Tribolium castaneum: one gene and its partner. The protein of the gene in region 1 purifies or fractionates together with the protein of each later gene. This does not show direct contact. Links are inferred from orthologs where the notes say so. Each region holds a gene or a part of one and is shown on either strand. Other genes may lie near its edges. The genes, in order: Rpp30 and Pop4.

Region 1 (3,961 bases):
ATGTTTATGTGGAGTAACATTTGCGGCAATGATTGTAAAAAAGCTTGGAAAAAGAAATACAATTCGATGGAGCGTGGTGCTGTGACTGTTTCTATTGCTTCGGAAATGTATTTTTCATCATCTGAACGCATTCCTTCAATTGACCAGAAAATTCGTTCGGCGTATCTAGAATTATTTAATTCATATTCTTATCTCAAATATTTTTTTTACCTCCAGACAGCCCAGATTGGGAATAATAAATGTTCCAAAGTTTTAATCAACCACCACAAGAAATTATCACACCCACAGCCTTCCATTTCGGGCCACAATTCCCATGATGATGTTAGCACAATGTATGAACAAAGTGAGGGAAAATAAATAATAAATAAAGTGACGGAGGCCCATATGGGATCATTATCCTTGTAGTGTCTGAACACCACAGCACAGTCACTTGCAAACAAAAAAACATACAGTAGGAAAGAACAAACTGAAGGAATGAAATAATTTATTATAACGTCCTGTCTTGGCGTGAGTTCGTAATTTAGAAACGTTTTCCTTAAGTGAACCTTTCCTTTGTTAACACTCATTTTTAGAAAAATTCAGGTTTCTGACATGATGAGTCAAATTTTATCACACACTGAGATAATAAACCATTTCCAGCGTTATCAGTATTGATAAACATGAGTCAATTTTCATATATTGTATTTTACACTATTTTACTATAACTTAACAGATTAGTGTATTATCTGGCAGGATGTAAGTCTTCCAAGTAAACCGAATGTTTTTCCAACATTTCCGCTACAGGATCTTGTTTATTACATTCCGGGTCATATTTCGCTCCCAGGGCCCATAAGGAATCTAAATCATATACAGTCCTAGCTTCGCGCGAAAATATGTGAAGGGCTATATTTCCTACAATTTCAGATAGTAAACAATTGAAAACAAAAAACAAAAATTACCTAAATCTAAAGCTAACCAATCCTTTGAATTTTCGCCTTCAAGCTTAGGGATAAGATCAGTTTTGTGCATTTTTTTCTTATAAATCATCCTAACAAACTGAGCAATTGCCTTCATATGTTTGTGTGACTTTCCAGTAACAACGCAAATGTACTCAACATACTGAATTTCTTTAGGCACCGCAGCCACAAAAATGTCTTCAGCATTTTCAGAGTGAAGCACTTCGATCAAGTCTTCAATATTATAAACACCATTGACACCTCCTTCAAAGAGACAATGTACAAAATGTTTCAAACACTAGTGATTGTAATACTCTCTAAATTAAGGCCCACAAAAGGGTCAGGTTCCTCCTCTTCAATCGCATTCACCGGATTTGCGTATTTACTCCGGTCCTCGTAAATATCGAGTATGACTTCGGAGTCTTCATCTCGAAAAATCTGGTATTTTGAGCTCATTTCGCCAAGAGGTGTCTTTGTTGTACTTTGGGATGTGTCTGGGGGTTGGGTTTTTGTACTTTTGCCAGATTTCAGTCTCCGCTGGACACAGTTTTGTAATAAATAGAGACACTGATTTTGCGGCCGCGTTTTGCTTAAAAGTCGTGTCACAAACATGGTTTTTATTAAATTAAAATAAACAAATTTAGATTTTGAACATAACCTTTCAAATTGACGTGCGTCAAAAAAACAGAGACAGATAGATTAGTTTTTAAAAATTTAGACAGAGAAGGATGACTTTTGACAGATTGTGGTAAACATGTGCTAGTGCTAGGTTAGGGATTGTTTAAAAATTTATTTTTATAAAAAAGTAGTATTACGGAACATGAAGTTGGAAGTCAGAGGTTTTTTTGATTACGGTGTCTCTGAGCATTGTTTGGACAACAACAAATATGAATCGACCATTAAATTGTTGTACGATTGTGAGTTGCAAACAATTTTATTAACAGCAAATTTCTGAGAGAAAATGTATTTCAGTCGGTTACAGGACAATAGCAATAAACCAAACAATCGATGCAAATGAATTAGAGCAGAAAAAGAAGAAGAAAAAAGGTGAACTTAGAGAAGGCCCCTCAGATTTTGTACCAGAACCCTACAAAATAACTCCACTTGAAGTAATATTTTTACCGAGATTTTGTTTAAATTAATATCAATATTGCAGGGTTACGAAGACTTAACTATTCTAAACCGCTTAACAATAATTTTTTCCAATCAAGACGTGATGCATAAAATTGTAAGTTACCCTGATAAGGTTATAAATTTGTTACATTATTATTTTAGACAAAGTCTTCACACTACAAAAAATATCACATAATCGCGGTTTTACCTGAAACGGTTCAAGCAAATGCGGTAAGATTTTCAACAAACAAAAACGGTTTAACACTTTTTTGTAGTTTGTTTGTAGCAGCTTTGAAGCAGACATATTATGCTTTCGTCCAGAGAATAAAAACCACATTAAACGTTCAAGAAAAATGTACAAGCAGCTAATAGACAGGGGCTATCATTTTGAAATACCTTACGCGCCTGCTATTGAAGACGCCGCTTTAAGGAGAAACATTATACACATGGCACATCTATATCACATTTTTATCAAGTCAAGAAATGTTATCGTGTCGAGCTTAGCCGAAAGACCTTCTTTGCTTAGGGGGCCTTATGATATCATTAATTTGTAGGTATTCTTAATTATTGGATCAAATATTTTTTAATTAGTAAATTCGCAAATACAGTTAAAGTGCGTTCGTTTAATTATGTAATTTTTCTGGTCTGACTAATGGTGGGAAAAGATGTATTTTTTGGCAGGAAGTTATAAATTATTTATGTACTTAAAAAAATTATTTAAATTGGCATTTCTACAGTTTTGAAACAGTTAATAATCAATTTTAATTTTAAGTCATTGTCACTGCAGGGGTGAAAGTTCTACAAACTAAAAAATTTGCATCGCTATCAACCTAATAATTTCTTAACGGTGCTGAGGGAGACAACTTTGTAGTAATTTTAATAAATGCAAAGCTATAAATAGGAGTAATAATACGAAATGTTTTTTTATTTTTGTAGAGGTTTAATATTTGGATTAAATGAAGAACAAGCAAAAAATTCCATAACAACTTGTGGTCGCAAAGTTTTTATCAATTCAGGTAAATTAGATACGTTTGTAGTTACAAAATAATTATTAATGTTTTAGTTGGTCGAAAACATGGTAAGGCTGTTATGTTTGCTGAAAATGTGGAAAAAGAAGAGAGTTCAAACGATTGTGAAATAATAGACTGTGTTGACGAAAGTGAAGAAGACATGGAAATTGATCAACCAGCATTAAAAAAAGTTAAACAATAAGTTTTTATTGTGTTTTTTAATTGTGTTATCAATAAAATAATTGGAGTTAAAATTGTCTTTTTTTATTATTAACAATAAAATTATGCTGCTAGAAGAGAATGTATAAATAGGTGCTGATCTAATTAGTTTTTAATTGCAGTTCTCATATTTAAATAATAAATATTCTAATTAACAGGTCTGATAAATCAATACGAGTTTTGTTGCAAAGAAAGTTTGATTGTCGCTTATGCAATCCATTGCCGGGTCTTGTAATAATCGGATATGGAGTAATTACACGTGTGTGTGCAAAATTGGCAATTTATTGATTGAAGGAGTGAGAAATTTCGAGTTTGAATTGGAACCGGAAGTGGTGTGCGGTGTAGTGGTGCGTAATTTCAAACTTGGCGCTTTGAAAGGTGGCAGCACCGTCGATCACAAGCGTAATGATAAAATGGAGTATTCATTTATACGTGCAGTTTATACACAAAATTTAATTAAGTGAATTCATGTATATAATCGTTGATAAGTGTAACTAATAAGTAAAATATCTCAAATACAAATGTGGTTATCAACGTAGCATAGTTTAACACTGCGGATAGGTAGTGGAAAGTGCATTTTTCGTCGGTGTCAAAAAGGGATAGAGTTGAACGGAACAGAGGCCGACGGTGTCCATGGTAAGTTTCCGCAAACGTCGGATTTTCGTAAATCAGTGCATGCGAACC
Region 2 (3,552 bases), on another chromosome or scaffold:
GTGTTTTAAAGAGTGGTGCCAACCTTGCACAAATCCCCTAAACAACATAACCTAAAGTGTCACCAGTTTATTACGATGAATTTACAAAAAAAATGATGCAAGTCGGGTTAAGACTAGGCAAAAACGGCACTAAAGGCCCCCCTTGTGTGCTCCGAATCGACTGCGTGTTCTACCACTACTTGCTGAAGGAGTTGAGGTTAAGTCGCTTCTACCGGATTTGCTTCATAAAATCGCAAAACAGCCGCAACTTTAGCTTTATTCTCCTGGAGACACGTTACAACCTAATTGACTACCAATGGTGAGTCAATTAGTGTCAAAATTGGGGGCTAACACTTTTTCAGGAACGAACGAGTGGTGGAAATGGTGCGCGAGCGGTGCGAGCTGGACCACGCCATGTCGTGGTTGTCCACCCTCGGGGGGGCTTTTTCAGCCCTTGGTGACTACTTCGCGAATTGTGCCCAAATCGCCGGGAAAATCTCCGTGAATCAATTGAAGCTAGCTTTGAGGTTAGGTGACCCGACTGTGGCCGCCAGATGTCGCCTCTACTTTAGTCTAAGTTTAATTCAACAAAAACGCTTCAAACTGGCCAGGAACATAATTTATCAGGAGTTCACAACCGCGAAAAATGCACTTGTTGTGGACGAACGACTTGTAAAGATGTGTAAAGGCATTTGGTCGAAATTACAATATGAGCATAGCTTGGGGCGTAAGCGCAAAAAATAAATCACAAATCTGGTAACATCACCGACTTGATTTTTTTAACGCTGCGCTCGCTGGGCTTCGTCATTATGTGTTTGCCGAAAACTGTGAACTTCATGGCGTCCAAGACGAACTCGAACACGGACGTGTTTTTTGGAATAACTGAAATCAAGCGATTTAGAGACGATTTAAAATTATTGCTTGAAATACTTTTCAATTGTGATTGTTGTGTGACGATCTGGAACGTCATTTTCGTTTCCAAGACAACGGTCCCAGTCAGGCCCACGTGACTGGGGCACTTGGACCGCGCCACCTTGATCTCGCTCCCGATTAGCTCAGATTTGGCCAAAACTGCCGAAAAGTTGGCCCAGTCTTGCTCACTACAGTGGGGCGCACGCCCGGCCAATTCCAGGTTCTGTCTCATGTATTGACGCCACATTTTCCTGATCCCTTCAAGTGAATTGTAATCCCAGTCTGACTTTGGCAATTTTAAAATGTTAAGGTCTTTTCGCTCCCTTCGAGTGAGAAAAGTCTTCTTTTTCCGGATCGGTTTTTTTCGCTTTTGCGAACTTTGGTGTTTGTCGAGGAGGAATTGCCATTTCAGGTCGTGGCGTAGCTGTTGGGAGTCGCTTCTAGGGAGTTCCTTCAGGAGCAGTTTTTGGATGTAGGTGGTGGGGTCCCCGATCTCGGGGGCGTTTTTGAGGTACTGGTCGGGCAAGCTCGTGTATAAATCTGGGGGAAAAACAGCAATAAAACGTTTAAATGCTGGTTTTAAGCGATTTACCGGCCATTGGAAAAAACGAGGTTAACTGATGTCAATCACAAGTGGCGCGAAGTTTAAATTTGAGTAAAAGCGCCGTAACTTTCTCTTTTTTTATTGTTATTCGGGTGTCAAAGGTCGGAATTTTTATTAAAGTGCGGTGTTGACAAAGTTGGGTTAATTTCGTTAATTGGCGGTTGATTCGGAATTATTCGAAATGTGAAATTCGTTAATTTTCTCTCAAATCTGGCAGACGCGTCTCTTTTTTCGTGTGAATTGCCGCTGTCTCCGCTTTAAGTGAATTATGAAAGGATGAGATATGTCTGGGAACGAACCGCCAATTGTGCGTTTTTGTGGGTTACGTATTTCCATTTATAACTTTCTTTTGACGAGACGCATCTTTTATTATTACATTACATTACGAATTGAACTATTGCACAGGAAAGTACAAGTCACGTCTAAGATTAATTTTCAAAATGTCACTTCAACTGTCTCTTCATGTTACGTTATAGTCGAGATTCGTTGCGATAAAGTATAATAAAAAAAGTTTCCAGTTTGTTTAACAGCATAGGTAATAGAGTTAGCTATTGTCGGGGTCTGAAAGGTCGGCTACTTTCAGGTCAAAGGAAGTCAGGCGGAAAGTTCCTTGTTTGATTCGATTTTTGGGACTAATTAGTAATTAAGGAACTGGAGAAGCAATCTGGCATAATAATGAAATGTTCAAACATCCACTCACTCTACACCTTATTTGAAATCAGTGCTATTTATGGCCAAAGCCATCAATAATTTTTTTGATCGAAGCTTTAGTCGCTTGTGAATTTTTTCAAATTTTTTCTACCCTTTCCTAATTAAAATTCGGAAAAATATCACAGGCATTGAAAAAATATAAATGATTTAAGAGCAAAATCCTGATTTTTGTGCGATTAGTAGTATTTGAGATTTTTTTTGCTTAAAATTTCGTTGGTCAAGGCAAATATATACCTTCATAAAAGTGAAAAATTTTTTTTTAACTCACTCCAGCAAATTTTTATGAACTTCTATATGTCTTAACAACCCACTAAAGTTGTTAAAAGTGCACAAAAAGTCCATTTGATCGATTTTTTGATGTTTGATTTTTCCAATTTTTGTTGCGATTTTGGTCAATTTTCGGCGCCCGGAACATTTATCGAGCAATAGCTCCGGAACTATTAGAGATAACACCATGAAGTGTATTATCGTTGGAAAGCTCTTTCAATTATCTATTTTTTTCAAAAAAGATTATAGTTCTCCGACTAATAGTTTTCGAGCAAATTGCAAATAAAAGCAAAAATTAGTAAAATTTTAAAAAATTCATAACTAAAAAAATATTCGGAATTTGGGAATTTTCTCGATGCCAATCGATTCCCCGGATCATTTTGCATAGGTATGGATCAAAATAGTTCCACTTTTTGGAATAGTTTAGCCGTAATTGAGAAAAAAATAAAAATAAAAAAAAGTTAACACAAAAAAAATTCATAACTAAAAAACTAAAGGTCGTAGAGCAATGCGGTTTGTTCCATTGAATTCAGCGGCTCATTTTCTGTATTATACCAACTTTTCACGAGATTTAAAATTTTGATTTTTTTGCTAAAATTTCCTGAGTAACACACTTACCTTCACGAAAGTGAAAAAATTAAATTTTTTTAAAACTCGTTCTATCATAGTTTTTCGGACTTATATATGCCTTTACAACCCTCTAGAGTTGTTAAAAGTCCAAAAAACGTCCATATGTTCAATTTTTTATGTTTGATTTTTCCAATTTTTGTCGCGATTTTGGTCGATTCCGGGTCTCCGGACATTTATCGAGCAATAACTCCGGAACTATTCGAGATAACCCCATGAAGTGTATTAGCGTTGGAAAGCTATTTTAATTATCTATCTTTTTCAAAAAAGATCATTGTTCTCCGACTAATAGTTTTCGAGAAAATTGCAAATAAAAGCAAAAATAGGTAAAATTTTAAAAAATTCATAATTAAAAAACTATTGGGAATTTGGCAATTTTCTCGATGCCAATCGATTCCCCGGATCATTTTGCATAGGTGTGAATCAAAATAGTTTCACTTTTTGGAATAGTT

Evidence for each region.
Region 2: the proteins of Rpp30 (region 1) and Pop4 purify together in Homo sapiens (affinity purification with mass spectrometry; 4 studies listed by BioGRID and IntAct, counting the BioPlex papers as one, with this or other methods). This does not show direct contact. The link is inferred for Tribolium castaneum from reciprocal best matches to the Homo sapiens genes RPP30 and POP4.

Annotation. Positions count from the first base shown.
Region 1 is NC_087398.1:7,285,453-7,289,413, reverse strand, and holds Rpp30 (ribonuclease P protein subunit p30), read left to right. Parts: upstream 1-1,656; 5' UTR 1,657-1,755; coding exon 1,756-1,852; intron 1,853-1,907; coding exon 1,908-2,044; intron 2,045-2,091; coding exon 2,092-2,163; intron 2,164-2,210; coding exon 2,211-2,279; intron 2,280-2,323; coding exon 2,324-2,598; intron 2,599-2,984; coding exon 2,985-3,064; intron 3,065-3,111; coding exon 3,112-3,260; 3' UTR 3,261-3,312; downstream 3,313-3,961. Other genes in the region: uncharacterized protein LOC103313092, read right to left, coding at 1-165, 211-566; uncharacterized protein LOC658939, read right to left, coding at 722-891, 939-1,199, 1,250-1,547. UniProt on the Homo sapiens protein: Component of ribonuclease P, a ribonucleoprotein complex that generates mature tRNA molecules by cleaving their 5'-ends. Also a component of the MRP ribonuclease complex, which cleaves pre-rRNA sequences.
Region 2 is NC_087401.1:15,382,577-15,386,128, reverse strand, and holds Pop4 (ribonuclease P protein subunit p29), read right to left. Parts: upstream 1,970-3,552; 5' UTR 1,491-1,969; coding exon 1,484-1,490; intron 1,432-1,483; coding exon 910-1,431; intron 862-909; coding exon 725-861; 3' UTR 724-724; downstream 1-723. Other genes in the region: uncharacterized protein F58A4.6, read left to right, coding at 93-298, 342-723. UniProt on the Homo sapiens protein: Component of ribonuclease P, a ribonucleoprotein complex that generates mature tRNA molecules by cleaving their 5'-ends.